4 linked regions of the Cricetulus griseus genome follow. The protein of the gene in region 4 interacts with the protein of the main gene of each other region in a pairwise test. Links are inferred from orthologs where the notes say so. Each region holds a gene or a part of one and is shown on either strand. Other genes may lie near its edges.

Region 1 (4,216 bases), on a different chromosome or scaffold from region 4:
TTAACTTGGCCCTGACAATCATGAAATGACTCAAAGCACAGGTTTTGTGTGGTGTTATAAAGTCAATCTATGGCAGCAGAAGTTTAGAAAAATGAAAGAAAAAAAAAACTATTTTCTTTTCACATATACTTGTGTACCCTCAGGATCAACTTTCAGTGCTCTGTATGATATCGACCATTAAAAAGATAATATTGCCCTCAAAAAGGTAAATACTAAGAACTAAGGATGGGATGGTTGAATGACTGATGGCAGTGTTGATATATTACTAGTGCTATAATCTTTTGAAAACTGTTTTTAGCAATACAAAATAAAAGTGGATGTGGACTGGATGGCTCAGTAGATAGAAGAATGTACTATTTTTTGCAGAGGACCCCAGTTTGAGTCCCAGCGCCCACATCAAGCTCCAGGTGATATAATGCCCTCTTCTGCCTTCTGAGGGTCTTGCACTCATGTGCACAGGTATCACACACACACACACACACACACACACACACACACACACACAATTAAACTTAAAGAAATTAAAATAACAAAAAGGGAAACACAGGCCTTTCTTGTAACCTGATACTATCAGTAGGTGTATAAGAAACAAATGCATTAAAAAAATGTATGATTGGAATGCACTTGTTCATAATCCTATCCAGACCTGGGTAAAACCCAGATGTCTATTAAGAGGTAAATATACATAGCCTGCGGTGCACTTAGATAAATGGAATTACACATAACGTACGTGCAACCTGAATGAATTTCCCTGGTTATATATCCTGGGTGAAAGAAGCCACTCGATATTCGACAAAGAAGACAAAATGCACTTAGAAGATAGGCACCTAAAAGAAAGACCAAATCACCACACACACTCACACTCAAAGCTGTGGGAAAGAAAATGCAGCCTCAGCATTCCAGCCAGAAACAGAGTCCAAACCGGTTTATCTCACAGCATCCCCTCCCCTCTCCGTCTCGGAGATCGTCGGGACCCGGGCAGTCCCCCTCTTGGACCACCGGAACACGTCACCAGTGCAAGGACAGCCAAGGGGCTGCAGGGAGGTCCCGGGCCAGGCCGGGCCGGGCCGGGCCGTGCGAGCAGCGACAGGCACACAGAAATCCCGAAGGGAGCCCCGACCGGCGCCGGAAAACCCTTACCTCCAAGTGCCTCAGGAGCTGAGTGGCGTTGGCCTCCGACTTCACGGCCTTGTACTGGCTGATGCTCAGGAGCAAGGACTTCAAGCAGGCGGTGGAGTCCATCCCGAGGCGCCGTGCTGTCAGCGGCCACAACCAGCAGCCCCGCAGCCTTCAGCTGAGGCCGCGCTTTTTTTGATTTTTAGGCCCCGCCCCTCCTACCCTAGACGCTTCCGGTTCCGGTCGGCCTCCGGAAGTCTCCGGGAGGCCCGGGGGACTGAGGCCTGTGATTGACGGGGTGGGCGGAGGGTCGCGGCTCTGCGGGAGCGGGGAGGTGGCGGGGAACCCCGCAGCGGTCCCCTTCAGCCCAGGGCCCGCGAGGTTTCAGCTGGAGGTCCGCGAAGACGCGGGATCTCGCGAGACGCGCGACTGTGGCTCAACCGGTGGCGGGGCTGCGCGGAGCCCGGGGGTCGGTGCGCGGCGTGGCTCGGGTTCGGCGGGCGTCCTCGGCGTTGGCGCTCGCCGCGGGGCCTGGTGTTGGTGCGGGCGTCAGCCTCGGCTCCAGACGCGGGCGCTCCCCCTAGTCTAGCACGGTGAGGAACCCCGGGCTGTGTCTCTGTGACTTAGGCTGGGAAGCGGCGCCGGAGCGGCCTCGGGCCCTCCAGCATCGGTCCCCGGTATCCAGAGACGGCCGAACCTGTGGCAGTCGCTATTCCGTGGCAAGTTAGCCGGGGCCTTACCCTAGAATTTGTCACACCCCCTCCTGAGCTCAGTGTCCTCGTCTGCGGTGACGGGTGTAGGCGAAGGTGTCTGTTCCTGCCCCGCACGGTTGGTTAGTTTGTATACTAAAGTGGCTACAAACAAACAAAAAATGGCATTGTTGAGATTTTTTTTTTTTTTTTGTATGAGAGGTGGTGTGCATGGATGTGTTAAAGAAGTGAGCCCGCGACTGGGTTAGTTCAAAAGCTTTTGGGTTAACTAAGCTAGGTCGTACAAGAGAGTCCTTGCCCATTTGACTAAGACATTTGGGTTGAAATGTTTGTGAATTCGGGAAACTTTTTTTTGCGTTGCTGCTTTTGAAAGACTTGATTTATTCTTTTATTGAAACATAAAAGTAAATGTAACTGATGACCAAAAATGATCGTGCTGTTGTTATTCACGGAAGAATTTGTAGATAATGTGCCCATTGATGCATCTGTTCATTCATTCCGTTTTAAACAAATGCGTATGAGGGACTAGGGATTGCCACCCTGAACAAAGACGAGGAGGTGTTGGCTGCCGAGAAGCCACCATCTAATTAAATTAGGGGAATAGGGGAAGAGTCTAAATAGAAAAGTACTCTTGGAATTCACTACATAAGTAAGAAGTGCACCGTGAATAGAGAGAGTGGAGCCAGTTGACTTCTAAACTTGGTTTGCACTTTTTTCTCTTTGTGGCTGCTTTTTCACTGCTCCAGTCTTTTTCTAAAGTGATACCTGAGAGTGTCTTGTTTCACGTGATTGTTCAATAAACAGTTATTTGAGCTTCTGCTTTGGGATGGGCACTGCTCTGGTCACTAGAGGATCAGTCTATGAGCATCAGATTTAACATTCTGGTAATAAAAACGTAATACGATAAGAGAAAAAAATACTCTAGAATAATGATAATCAGGACAGGAAAAGAAGAGTCAGAATAGACCTCGCTTAAAACAACAAACAACAAGACAAAAAGACAACATTGGAGGAAATACTTTCAATGTTTGAGAAGTCAACCATACTTTGTAGGAGAAAATGCTGCCTATTAGTTGGAATGAGGTGGACAAAAGTCAAGAGGGAGTATGGCAGGGTGCCAGGAAGAGCCTGAGCTAGTAGTGGCCATACAGGAATCCTGAAAGGAGTAGTGATGGAAAAAAAAGCAGGTCATATAATGGTCTTGGAGACTATTGCCAAATCAGTTAATCGATGTGAAGAGCAAGTTGTTGACTAATAAAATTATGTCTTCTGTGGTAAGTACAGTCATTGGTAAATGGAGTTGTAAGAATATACTGTAAGACTTTTCACATATAATGACAAGTGTCGAGCATCATCCCTGTTTTGACAAATAGGAAAGGCCCCAAGCTGCCTACATCAAGTGCCATCTTTACAATCTAGAAGAAATTCCAAGTTTCTAGATTGTGCGATTAAGAAAGTATAGATAATCTTTTAGATTCAGTGAAATTTTATGTATTTTGTGAGTTGTGTACTTTTCTAATTAAGTGTATTCCTATGTATTATAATACTTATTACGTAACAAATTTTCTCGTGAATTTTTGTTACTCTAAAATAAAGGTGTACTGGGTTTTGGTGTATCTTAAGTCAGCTACTTAACCAAAATTTTGTTAAGTACAAAAGTTTAGTGTATCTCAGATTTCCTACATATATATAGTCTATTAAAATAATTTCTTCCTGTATACTGTCTCAGTTTATTGCATTAATATAATCTCTACAACATGGGACATGGTGACAGGAAAGATTTTTCAACACTATAATCCACTGTTTATAGTTGTTTTTGTTTAGGACATTGCTCTTTTATCTCCTTTGTTTTTTAAAACCCTGTTTAAAATCTCCAGACGTTCACATTTATACATTTGGTTCCCTTTTAAAGTAATACAGTGAATTATGCTGCTTTTTTGAGTAGTTGGCATCCATCAAAGGATTTTTTAAGGACTATTTAATCTTCATAACAGTGCAGTTATTGAGATGACCACCATTTTATAGATTACAAAGTATAACATCTGGTAATTTGTGAAGGTCACAAAAGCAGTAACAAAAAGACTTAATTTTACTCAGGATTCCATACCTTATGTTTTTAAGTTAGAATTTTCAATACTTTTCCTATTTTCTCATTTGGGATTTTGGTTAAATATTGGTTTTGTGTCAGGTTGACATAAAAACTAGTCAGGAAAAGTTAAAGTCTGGGCGAGCTGTGTTAAGTGCTACTGGGAAAAGTAGATTGTTATTACTACTATGTTATTTTAGATGAGTCCAGTTCACTCATTCTTTAAGGATTAGCATAAAATCTTCCCTCCTTGTAAGCTTTTATTACTGTCTGTGGTTTAAATTTTGTCTAGATAGTCTCTCCA
Region 2 (4,112 bases), on a different chromosome or scaffold from region 4:
CCTGAAGCACAGAGAAGGCTTGGGAGCCAGCTAACCTTGGACGGGAGCCCTAGAACAGAGATGCTTCCAGGGACAGCTGCTTCCAAGAGGACAGCTGCCTGGGAAGTCCCTTAAAGCCCAGCCTCTCCCCACTGGGTGGGTATGAGAGCTTTGTCCACAGAATCTATGAAAGACCTCATCTCCCAAGATAGTTCAGCTGGTAAACCCAGTTGACAAACTCTACCCGCACAACTGCTCAAGAGTTTCAGATGTGGAGAACTGCTGCTCACTGCTAGCTGCTGGCAGCCGAGGAGGGGGTTCTCAGGAATCAGAAAAAAAAACAAACAAACAAACAAAACAAAACAGAATAGACAGATCCGCTTCAGGACTGAATGATTCTATCATGGTTCAGACTCTTGGTATGTGGAAACAAAATTAACCTCATGTGCACATAAATTTAATAGCCCTTACTTGCTGTGTGTGGTGGTTCAGACCTTTAATCTCAGCAATCAGGAGGCAGAGGCTGCAGGATCTCTCGGTGAGCTCCAGGCCACCTGGGGACTTGAGACCCTACCCCCCCCAAACAAACAAATAAAAGCCATTAACTTTATTTTTTTAACAATTTAACTTTGTTTTTAAATGTGCGTTGGTGTGAAGGCATCAGATCCCCAGAACTGGAGTTACAGACAGTTGTGAGCTGCCATGTGGGTGCTGGGAATTGAACTCTGGTCCTCTGGAAGAGCAGCTAATGTTGTTAACCTCTGAGCCATCTCTCCAGCCCCTCACCTCACCCCATTAACTTTATTTTTAAAAAGCCTTTTTCCCAAAAGACTTTGGAGAGGGAAAAAAAAATGAGTAAGGGCCACCTTGTCTAACTGCAGCCTCCAAATTAAAAGTTGAGTGTGTCTCATAATCTCAGACAGAACCCTCCATCTCCATTTGCAGTAGTACCGCTATCTAAAGAGGGGGTGACCACATGGTCACCTCCTCTGAACGCCTGCTCGCCCACCCATGGGCCTATTTACTTAACGGACTATAACAAAGGCCATACTGGGTGTGCTCGCCCAACGCTGCCTCCCACCGGGATCCTCTGGAACTCGCACCTAGGTCTTCTCGGCCGGCCGCAAGGCCACGCTTACAGCGTTGCTTTGGCAACCGCAGAGGTGCGCTCGCTGTTACCTAGGAGACACACGGAGCGATGCTCCCTTCTCGTAGCTGAGCGCCCGGCTCTAATTGGGCAGAACGCCTCACCAGCCAATAGGAGCCAGGCGCGCTGCACACATGCGCAAGGAGGCTACGGTCCCGCAGCCCGGGTCCGCAGTGGGTGAGTCCTTCGGCTGGGGTGCCAAGGAAGAACGGGTCGCCAAGTCAGGAGAGGGAGCCCCGTCCACCACCACCACCCCCGGAACTCTGCGACACCGCGGGCTCCAAAGGAGAGGAACGGAACGAAGCCGCTGGCGCGCGAGGGGCCCGAGAAACGCGCGCTCCCCCTTGCTGAGGCTCACGGGAGATGTAGTCCGCGCGGAGGGGGCCGTGCCTGTGGGGCCGGTGCAGGATTGGCCAGGCCGGTAGTGAGTGGCGGTGGGGCGAGCGGTGTAGCCTCCCTTCCCGGAAGTGCCCCGAGCTCCTGGGGCGCCAGGAGGCGTCAGAGGTGAGCGAGCTGCTCGACTGGGCGGGCCCAGCTTCTCGTGGCTCCCCCCCCCCCCGAGCTCGAGGAGCGCCCCACTGCCCCCAGCCTTCGAACCCAGAACTCCGGGGGTCCCCTTCCTCCTGAAAGACCCTCCCTCTCCTTTGCTGTGTCAGAAACTGACACCCACCCCACCCCCAACTCTACAGGTGCCCCAGGAGAGCCGGTTTCAACCCAGAACCTCTTAAGGACTGGGACACAGGTTCCAGTTTACATGTCCACGTGATGCACGGCTGTCTGCTTTGGCTTCTGCTTGGGCGTTTCCTAGGCGTAGTGTGAGGCACCCACGGTTTTGTCGGTGAGCAGTGTCACCAAGCTCATATAGGCCCCTGGGAGTTGGCCCAGGCTTTCAGCACTGTCCCGGGTGATGTACCCAGACCCCAGAGCCAACTCTTCAGATAGACCAACACGATCTGCTTTCTGACTGAAGCCTCCAGGGCTCCAGGTCGCCCTGAAGGATGGTCCTACCTGTGCCCCCCTGATCCTTTGTCGGCTGGGGGAGCCACGGTAGTCCTCTGTTGGTAGTCCCAAAGGTTTGGGCCAGCCATGGAAGTTTCCTAGAAGGCCCTTGGACACCTTCCACCCAGGCATTTATCATCCATGCACCCTCCAGGTTGGGACCTGCACCTCCCGTTTCCTTCCTCGAAGCGCTCCTGGCCTTGGGGTTCTCTTTCCTGGCTTCTAGGAGGGGTCTGGTGTGTGCTTTTGGCCTTAGATGACACTCTGGTTCCTCCTTTCCTGTAGGTCCCTCCTGACAGCTCCAAAAAGACCCTTCAAAACAAGAATGCCAGCTCCTCTAGGTCCCCCACACCTCTCCCTCGGGGACTCCGAGACCACCATTGAGGAGCCTGAGGCTGCGCGACTCAGATTCCGGGGTTTCTGCTATGAGGAGGTAGAGGGGCCCCGAGAGGCCCTGTCCTGCCTTCGCGACTTGTGTCACCAATGGCTGCAACCTGAGTCATGCTCCAAAGAGCAGATGATAGAGTTGCTGGTTTTGGAGCAGTTCCTTGGCGTGTTGCCCCCTGAGATCCAGGCCTGGGTGCGAGGGCAGCGACCAGGAAGCCCTGAGGAGGCTGCAGCCCTGGTTGAGGGGCTGCAGCTTGATCCTGGGCAGCTGCTGGGCTGGGTGAGTGTAAATGGCATTAGCTGCTCAGGAGGACAGACTGAAGGTAGAGCCCCCCGTGACAGGCTTCTCTTCAGATCACAGCCCACATCCTGAAACCAAAGACGCTGCTTACAGTCCAGCGGACAAAGGAATCTTCCGGGAGCCGCAGCGTCTCAGTAGCAACGGAGTCCTCCGAGGCAGGCCCTTCGGAGGAAGTACCACAGGGTTCCAGCCTAGACAGATCTACCCAGATCCACTTGGTTGTGAAGGAGGAAGCCAGCGCCGATGGACAGGAGACGGGTAGGTGAGGGGTGACAACATCAGAATTTCAAATCTCTGTGTGTGGGTGTGGGGTGGGGGATGTGGTATCCTAGGAGGGGTTGTGTCGGGGGCTGGGACTCCTGAAATAAGTCTGCATGTCCCCAGCTGGGAGAGGGACCCTGGAGAGATTACAAAGGTGGATTCCTATGAAGCAACAAGACAAGACTGACCTCGCACCATGCCACATGGCAGAGGCAAGCCAAGGCCAATGCAGTCACCACAGCTTGATGCTCCTTCCCGTCTCCTTGTCTTTCTCAGTATCCCCAAGCCCCCTCCTTCCAGCCCAGGCCCCTGAGGGACATCTTGGACACCAGGAAGCAGCCTCCACATCCTCCCACCCAGGAAGGATCCAGGTAAGCAGCCTACAGCAGGAAAAGCAGGCCATGGGTGTATATGGGGTGTCTCTGTTGGTTGTATTCCCACCCTGTGGTTTGGTAGGGTCCTCTGCCAGTGACTCGTGTGTTTGTGCTTTTTGTTTTTACTATTCCTGAGTAGTAAATAACTTCCCTTCCAGCAGGTTCTAAGGGCTGAAGACTAGACTGGTAGGTCTCTCATTGGAAAAGATTTAGGCCTGGTCCAGAGTGGCTAGAGCTGGTGGCCATGGCTTCCTCACCCCAGAGAGGCTAGTTACTGGAAAGGCTTGTTATACCTTGAGGTCATGGGCCAGCTGTTATGTGTGCGGGCGGAGAGGAGACTGCCACGGCAGGGTTCCTGCATCCCTGAGAGCAAATCAAGACACTCTCCCTGAGTATGCCTCAAGTCCCTTCTACTGCCCTTGTCAAAGGACAGTGACCTGGAACCTTAGTTTAAAGCCCCTGCTACCTGAGCGTGCATAGTTGACGTGGAGGGGTAGGGATCCTATCCTCTTCAGGGTCTTTCTGTCCCTGGGCCCCTCCACTTGGGAGCCCCCTACCTCAATAGAGGGTCTAGTTAAGGTGTGCTTCAAGGTTAAGAAACCCCTCTAGGATGTCTCTCTGGTGCCCTCACTTCTGGTCAGCATCGCCTCTAGATTTAGCTGTC
Region 3 (4,058 bases), on a different chromosome or scaffold from region 4:
CTGAGCCACCATACTGACCCCAATTTTATTTTTATTGGTAGGTTTTTATTACATGTAAGTGTAACCTGTCTTCTGATATTCTAAATGATTTGTACTTTATCTTAACCAAAAGGCTGAACTGTAGTCCCCCAGCCACTTAAAACTTGAAAACTGGGGCCAACATTATGGAAGGAGAGAACAGACTTGATCTCCATGTGTACCAAGACATATACCCACACACCGGAATACATACAAAATAAATACATAAAATATAAAAAAGGTTTTCTTTCTTGTTTTGTTTTTTCAAGATAGGGTTTCTCTGGGTAAGAGCTCTGGCTGTTCTGGAACTTGCTTTGTAGACCACACTGGTCTCAAACTCATGCCTGCCTCTGCTTCCTGCTGGGATCAAAGGTATGAGTCACCACTTGAGCATTTTTTTTTTTTTTTGAGACAGGGTTTCCCTGTGTAGCTTTGGAGCCTATCCAGGCTGGCCTCGAACTCACAGAGATCCTCCTGCCTCGGTGCCCCCTCTCCCCCGCAGTGCTAGGATTAAAGGCCTATGCCACCAACACCCGGCTGGCTTGAGCATTTAACAAAACATTTATTTTTAAATTGTGTGTGTGTGTTTGGGCTAGGTGGTGGAGGCACACGCCTTTAACCCCAGCATTCAGGAGGCAGAGGCAGGTGGATCTCTGTGAGTTTGAGACCAGCCAGGTCTACAGAGTTAGTTCCAGGACAGCCTGCAAAGCCAGAGAAACCCTGTCAAAAAAAAAAAAAAAAAAAAAAAAAAAAAAAAGGAAATAAAAAATTTGTGTTTGTATGTGTGTGGTGTATGTGCAACACACCCATAGAGTCTAGGAGAAGATGTCAGATTCCTTGGACCTGGAGTTACAGGCAGCAGTGAGTCACCTGACATGGGTTCTGGAAACTGAACTCAACCTTAAGAAAAGCAGTATGTCTCTTTACTGGCCAAGCCCTCTTTCCACCCTAAGTTAAAACAAAACAAAACATAAAACTGTGTGTGTGTGTGTGTGTGTGTGTGTGTGTGTGTGTGTGTGTGTGTGTATGTGTACAGGTAAGAATGTGTCACAGTGTACGTAGGTCAGAGGACAACTTGGAGGAGTCAGTTCCCTACTTCCAACATGTGGGTCCAGAGATGGAACAGTTTGTCAGGCTTGGTGGCAGGTGTCCTCACCTACTGAGCCATCTCACTGCCCTCTCACCCAAATACTTTTGATGACCAAGTACTTAAGTGCCCACCCAGGTTTGGGGTTACAGCTGCTTTGGTCTCTGACTTTCCTGGAGCTCCCACTTCTTCACCTGTCAGGAGGGAATAAGGTGTAGGGTGTGATTGGTCTTGCACTCAGGGGGCAGAACCCAGGTTAGACTGAATTCCAGGCCAATCTGCTCTACACAGCAAGTCCAGGTCAGCCAGAACTACACAGTGAGACCCTATCTCAAAATGCAAAAACAAAACAAAAAATGAAAATGGGGGGTACCAACAGAAGGGATGACTTTGGGGCTTGCTTTAAGTGTATGGGGGCTGCTTGTAGTATAGACATCCAGCTTGTGAATCGGTGTGGGCCTGGGGTCTGTTTTAGAATGTTTAACATAGGTTTGTTTTGGAGACACGCCCCTCTATGTAGTCCAGGCTGGCCCTGCACTCCAGATCCTCTAGTCTCAGCTTCGAAAGCTTTAAGATGGTTAATCACCATAGGGAGTACCACAGCCAGGTTACACAGGCTGCTCAGGTGGATGCACAGGGATGAGGTCATTCCTGACCTCACCTGCCTGAGCAAATGACAGCCTGAGCACTTCAGTCTCCTCTGCTGTTCCTAGCTGCCTGACTCCTGGCTGGCTGCGGTTGGGAGTCGTAGAGGTGTTAAGCATTAAGAAGAAAGATCATGGGACAAAGAACAATGGCGATTTCAGTTCTTCTACCTACTAACAATTTTAAAAATAATTATGTGTATGGGTGTGAGTTTATGCACCAGTGAGTGCAAGTGCTCAAGAGGCCAGAGGGTTGGATTCTATGGAGCTACAGGCAGGAGTGAGCTCTGGGAAACGAACTCTGCAATTAACGGTTAACAGCTTGTACGGCTCTTTTTTCTTTTCTTTTTTTTTTTGGGGGGGGGTTCGAGGCAGCGTTTCTCTGTGTAGCTTTGAGCCTGTCCTGACACTCGCTCTGGAGACCAGTTTGGCCTCGAACTCACAGGCTGGGCATTGGTGGCTCACGCCTTTAATCCCAGCACTCGGGAGGCAGAGGCAGGTGGATCTCCGTTAAGGAGCCTCTCCAGCCCCTTAAAAATTACGCGTGTGTGTGTGTGTGTGTGTTTGGGAAGCGTGTCACGAAGTGTGTGTAGGGCAGAGAACGTCCTACAAGAATCGACTCTTTACACTATGCTCGGGGGTCGAACCCACGTCGTCAGGCTTGGCTGCAAGCGCCACTGCCAGCTCGGCCACCTCGCCGGCCCTCAAGCTACAGTTCCTAAGCACCGTGTTCCACACTTGGGCTTGGAGGGCTCATCTTCCTCATGAAGACGGCTAGGGGAGCCTTTGACGTGAAACCGCTGCGGGGCCCTGGGAACCCGGGGGGGGGGGCGCAGGTCTCGCGTCTCCCGCGCCAGGCCGCAGGGGTGGGATTGAGGTCCTGCCACCCCCGTCGCCGCTGCGGACCGGTCCGCACCCCGTACCTACCTGCCCTCCTCCTGACGTCACGCCGCTACCAGCCCGGAAGCAAACCCGGCGCCGCGAACTCTCGGAGTGCCCATCTCCGCGGAGCAAAAGCGCCTGCGCGAGGCGGGGCGAGTCACTTTTCGTCATCTTGATTGGCTAAGATTATTATAGGTCTACGAATTCCGGAAGAGCTGGGACAGCCCCGCCCACCCCGAGGGGAGCTCAAGCTGAGACCGCTGCGTGGCCCCGCCCTCCCTCCCGGAAGTGCTAACTTGCCACCGCCCAGGCCGGGAGACTGCGTTTTCAAAAGAAGCTGATTCGTCATCCTAAAACTTTGATTAATTGATTTTTGAGACTTTTTTTTTTTTTTTTTTTTTTTTTTCCGGTAGCTCAGTTTGGCCAGGAACTCATTATTTTGCTGAGGATGACACTGAACTTCTGACTCGATTTGTGATCTCTAAGTAGTGGGATTACTCGTGTGCTGCACAGCACCGGGTTTTGTTTTAAAAAAAATTACATTTATGGCTCAGCGTAGTAACCAACAGCTTTAATCCCAGCTTTCTAGAGGGAGAGGCAGGTAGTCTGGTTTACACAATCAAAGGACAGTCGGGTACACAGTGAGACGCTCCAAAAAAAAAAAAAAAAAAAAAAAGTGTGGGTGAGTGCTGGGTTGCCGCGAAGGTGAAGTTGTCAGGCATGGAGCGTTAGAGGGATCCCCGTGGACTTCTGGGCATGCATGTGGGGCACATACATACATGCAGCCAAAATATCCATACAGGTAAAATAAGTAAGAAAGAAAGAAGAAAAAGGACTTTCATTCAATGTTTCCACTTTGGGAAGAGAGACAGATAGATTCAGGAGGAACCACCCAAGTCCTGAAGCGAGATCAAAGTTAAACAAAGGGACAAGGTTAAGCACCATGTAAGCAGTCCGGGTTAAGGTGTGGCTCCGCCCACCACTGACCCATCACTGGCTGGGCTTCAGGCTCAGTGGTCTGACAAATTCTTAGAACTGTGTGAAATTATTTTCCAGAAGAGAAGTTTCCCTTCTGGCTGGTGCCCTTTCCTTTGCCCAGCGAGTGATTCCCGGGAAAATCCCTATTTCTCTGGGGTTCATTATCTCCATAATCTGATAGATTGAGAGATATAGGAGTCTCTAGAATATCTTCATTTCTGCCAGACCTGTTAAAAATCAAAAGTCAGAAGCATGGGAGATTCTTGAAGTCCGCTTAGCTTTTATAAAAGGAGCCAGCTGCTGGGGGAGGGACTGACAAGCAGCTGTGAGAAGAGACACTCAGACCTGCTTTTGAGTCATCATAAGAAACCCTGATCCATTCTTCTGTTTGTAACCCTAGTAGAAATTCGTTAGCTTAACAGGTCAGACTTTGGTGCAGTCTTTACTTT
Region 4 (4,119 bases):
GAAGAGCCCGATGGACTTCTCATAGGAAAGACGGAGGAGGGGTGAAGAGCTCTTAGGAGTCACAAAAGAGAGTAGCCAAGCTGGAGCCTGGGTGAGGCCAAATGGGACAGTGAAATGCTGGATAAAGCCTCCCAGTGAAGAAAGGAGTTAGCAGGGGTTATGGGAAGGTGAGCTCTGGCTGGAATGAAATGGCTTGCTGTTTGGTCAGCTGCTTGTTTACTGCTCATTCACTGACCCAACAGAGGCTCTGGACACTTGCAGAGACCCTTTCCTGAATGAGACAATAAGGCAAAGCTTGAGGACCTTTTCAATGTTTTGCAAGGCTTGACCTATGCTCCAACAAAACTTTCCAAAACAGGGCTCTTTTGTGCCATTTCTGAGACTTGACATGTGACCTAGCAAAGGCTGCAATGTCGACAGCCCACAATTCATTCATTTATTCAAAGAAAACTTTGTACTTATTGAGTTTTCTATATGCCAGCTGGCATCCTGAAACTAGGTGGGGGTACTGTCATAACCAGGACAGAGAGGACAGAGACGACTCCACCTTTACTGGACTTTCAAAGCACAATTCTAAGAGTGCCCCTAAGCATATGGAGACCACCTGAAAGAGGGTTGGTCAGTGAGGCTGAGGCTCCACAATAAGCTGGAGACATAGCCAGAGGGAAAAAGCAGGCAACAGACCATAGACGAACTGCAGGACAATTTAACAAATTTTTAGTGTCATAGTTCCGGTAGTTGTAATGCACCGGAGGACTTTAGAGGAATGAGGTGGTCTGACTGATTATGACTGCAGCTGCTTTTTGACATGAAATACCCAGTATGCTCAGATTGTGCAAATTCCCAAAGTTCTCAACTAGCCTCATCTTGTTTGATGACTTGTTATAATCTTTGTTAACACAGCTAGTGGGAGGCAACAGTCTGAGCCATGTTTAAGTGCAAACCTGACTTCCTACTTATAATGAGATGTCGGCCCTGAAGCGGGACTACAAGTTCCTGCACTATAGGATGTGGGGGTAAAGGGAATTATTTATACGCAGAGCACAGAGGCTGTGTGTGCCTAGCACGACTGTGACAGGCTTTCAGAAATGTTCACTTTCGTTAGTTACTCCAGAGGGTTCCTACGGGGAGCACGGGACACTCGTGAAACTGCCAACTACCTTCCTCTAACTCCCCTTTCCTTTTTTGTGAAGTGGAACAGAGCTCAGCGCCCACTCTGGCAGAGGCGCAAGGCCAAGCTCGGCTTCAATACGGCCATTGTCATCAAGCCGCACCTCCCCCGCTTGCCGCGCGTCCCCATGGCAACTCGGGGCTTCGCCTGCCCCCCACCCCCGCCCCCCGTCCTGCGGACCGGAAGCCGTGCGCGCCGGGGGCTTGTGGGAAGAGGCTGTAAGCGACGGTGCAGCGTCTGCCCGGGACGGCGAGGCTGCGGTGGGTCCCGAGACGGAGGTCAGCGGCGTGCGGGGGCAGGGTTCGAGGAGGGGGCGCGGGTCGGGGCGCGGCGGCCGAGGGCCCGGCGTCGTTCGGCGTCTCGGGCGTGCGCGGAGAAGGCCGCGGCGGAAGGGCGGCGACGGCGGCCTGCCGCGCTTCGGGAGTCCGCCGAGCCTCTCGCGCCCGCGTCCTCGCCGATATGTCCTCCCCTCCCCCACCGACCGGTTTTGTTCTATTTCGAGGCTCTGTCCGCTCGCGGAGCGTTCTGGGAGTCGCTTAAACCGAGGTGGGATCCGTGGTTCTCGCGCACGGCCTTCTGGGATTTGTAGTCCCGCCGGTCTAGGGCGGAAGTGCCCGTCCTGTGTGGAGACGGGTGTTCTGGGGCCTCTGCGGCCCTTCGCGGTGGATGCTGGGAAGAGGACATCAGCGGGGATTACTGGGGCTGGCTGGGCTCGGCGCTGTGAGGCGGGAGGTCGTTGAAGACCAGGATCCCGCCAAGTGCTTGACGGCGTTTCTCCTCGTCTCATGAGCCTGGTGCAGTACAAAATAGAAGAAAAAGCAATTTCTATTACGTAGAAATGCTTGAGCCGTTGATAGGGTCTGGTCCAGGAATAGGAATAAATAACCTGGATTTTGCTAGCAGGCCATCATCCCACTCAAGAATATTTATGGATCTATATGGTCTGTCTGTTTGATACAGTATTTTTTGATTGTCTTCCTCTTGACAGGTTTCAATAAGATTTTCTTAAGTTTCTGTGTTTTGTGTGTGTGTGTGTTTTTAATATTCTTGGCTCTGATAAATAAACAGTAGCTGTAAAGCGTATTGTTCCGTTCATTTGTTTTGTTTTGTTTTTCCAGACAGGGTTTCTCTGTGTAGTCCTGTCTGCCCTGGTACTGGCTCTGTAGACCAGGCTGGCTTCGAACTCAGAGATCCGCTTGCCTTTTGCCTTCCAAGTGCTGGGGTTAAAGGCATGTGCCATCACCGCCTAGCTAAGCTTATTATTCTTAATGTGCTGTGAACCATGGCACCAGTATGATTTTGCAAATACTAAAAGGATCAGAAAGTAGCTCACAGATTTCCCCAAAGGAAAAGCTAGGGGAAGCTACTTAAGGAAAAAGACTCTGGGCCATTATGAGAAGTTGTGAGTGCTTTTTCCTAATAGAATTTGCTGCAGTTGATTAACTGTCACAGTAAGTTTAAATGCATGTATGGTGGTGGATGCCTAAATAACATTTGCATGTTATGTGCAATAGTTTCTTCTCCAGCGTTATGTGAACTGTGTCAAAGTGAATCTGTGACAAGATCTAACAGCCCAGTTGTTTTTGCTATGTAGATGAGGATAGTCTTATTCTACCTAGGTACTGGGATTACAGGTTTAGGACACCATACCCAGCTACTAGTGAACATTTTTCACATTTATTTTGTTTAGGAAGTTCCTAAACACCTCAGTTTTGTTTTTTTAACTTCAAAGCAGTGCGCGCACGCGTGCGTGCGTGCGTGCGTGCGTGGTGTGTGTGTGTGTGTGTGTGTGTGTGTGTGTGTGTGTGTGTGTGTGTATGCCCGTGAGTGTGCATTGGCCTTGAATACAGTCTCTAACCCCAGGGGTGGGGAGGCAGTTTACCTGGTTCCTACTCCAGACTTGCAAAAACAAAATGAAAAGTTGGGCGGGCTAGGTAGCTCATTAGGTAGGGGGCTTGCTCCAAGCCTGACAACCTGTATTGGATCCCAGATTCCACAAAGCAGGAGGAGGGAACAAGTTTCTGCATCTTGTCCTCTGACTCCCACACCTGTGCGGAGATGTATAAACACAAAATAAATGTCAAAGTTTTGAGTCCCACAGTTCTGAATATTTAGTTTCTTATTTTATGTATGTGTATACCACGTGTCTTCCTGGTGCCTAAGGAGGTCAGAAGAGTGTTTGTAGTGCTGGGAATAAAACCTGGGTCCTCTGCAAGGACAGCGAGCATTCTTACTTGCAGAACCCAAGGGTTCAGAACATTTGGAGAGCACTTCGATAGGTTGATTCTTACATGGGTTCTTTAGGCTATTTAATTGCCTTTTGTTACTATATGTCACAGACTGACAGTCTTTCGCTGGAAAGGGCCAGGTTGTAAATAAATCCTAAGTTGTTTTAGATCTTAGCAGAAATTGTTGAACCCTATCAGTGATACCTTTATAGCCTGAACCATGATTAAATTTAATGATTTATAAACAACAAATTTAAAAAATATTATGGGGCTGGAGAGATGGCTCAGTAGTTAAGAGCACTGGCTGCTTTTCAAGAGGACCCAAGTTCAATTCTCAACACCCATATGGCCATTCCCAATGTCTGTAACTTTGTTCCAGGGGTACCAGCACCCTCACACAGACACCCTTATAGGCAAAAACCAATGCACATAAAATAAACCATTACAATTTTTAAAAATATTTTTACATTTTGTGTATGTGTGTAGGCATGCACGTGCAATGCCACACTTGTGGAGACCAGAGAACACCTTGCAGAAGTAAAGTTCTCTCCTATGTACATGCTGGTTATCAGACTCAAGTCATCAGGCTTGATCGAGGGTACCTTTGCCAGCTGAATGACTGTTGACCCTAGACTGATACATCATATTTTCCTATCATGAAATGTTTCTATGCTTTTTAGCCATTTAAATTTTTACACTATGGATAGTGTAATTGGCAGC

The links.
Region 1: the proteins of Znf24 (region 4) and Dzip3 interact in binary tests that used the Homo sapiens proteins (3 or more experiments, as listed by UniProt). The link is inferred for Cricetulus griseus from reciprocal best matches to the Homo sapiens genes ZNF24 and DZIP3.
Region 2: the proteins of Znf24 (region 4) and Znf446 interact in binary tests that used the Homo sapiens proteins (3 or more experiments, as listed by UniProt). The link is inferred for Cricetulus griseus from reciprocal best matches to the Homo sapiens genes ZNF24 and ZNF446.
Region 3: the proteins of Znf24 (region 4) and Ccdc130 interact in binary tests that used the Homo sapiens proteins (3 or more experiments, as listed by UniProt). The two-hybrid records come from large-scale screens. The link is inferred for Cricetulus griseus from reciprocal best matches to the Homo sapiens genes ZNF24 and YJU2B.

The regions. Positions count from the first base shown.
Region 1 is NC_048597.1:42,076,719-42,080,934, forward strand, and holds the start of Dzip3 (E3 ubiquitin-protein ligase DZIP3), read left to right. Parts: upstream 1-1,416; 5' UTR 1,417-1,709; intron 1,710-4,216. Other genes in the region: protein CIP2A, read right to left, coding at 1,141-1,242. UniProt on the Homo sapiens protein: E3 Ubiquitin ligase proteins mediate ubiquitination and subsequent proteasomal degradation of target proteins.
Region 2 is NC_048602.1:25,556,328-25,560,439, forward strand, and holds the start of Znf446 (zinc finger protein 446), read left to right. Parts: upstream 1-1,312; 5' UTR 1,313-1,630; intron 1,631-1,815; exon of another isoform or gene 1,816-1,964; intron 1,965-1,971; exon of another isoform or gene 1,972-2,279; intron 2,280-2,410; 5' UTR 2,411-2,450; coding exon 2,451-2,792; intron 2,793-2,866; coding exon 2,867-3,071; intron 3,072-3,350; coding exon 3,351-3,445; intron 3,446-4,112. UniProt on the Homo sapiens protein: May be involved in transcriptional regulation.
Region 3 is NC_048596.1:160,144,661-160,148,718, reverse strand, and holds the start of Ccdc130 (coiled-coil domain-containing protein 130), read right to left. Parts: upstream 2,801-4,058; 5' UTR 2,677-2,800; intron 1-2,676. UniProt on the Homo sapiens protein: May be involved in mRNA splicing.
Region 4 is NC_048595.1:213,152,927-213,157,045, forward strand, and holds the start of Znf24 (zinc finger protein 24), read left to right. Parts: upstream 1-1,319; 5' UTR 1,320-1,449; intron 1,450-1,582; exon of another isoform or gene 1,583-1,717; intron 1,718-1,815; exon of another isoform or gene 1,816-1,965; intron 1,966-1,971; exon of another isoform or gene 1,972-2,112; intron 2,113-4,119. UniProt on the Homo sapiens protein: Transcription factor required for myelination of differentiated oligodendrocytes. Required for the conversion of oligodendrocytes from the premyelinating to the myelinating state.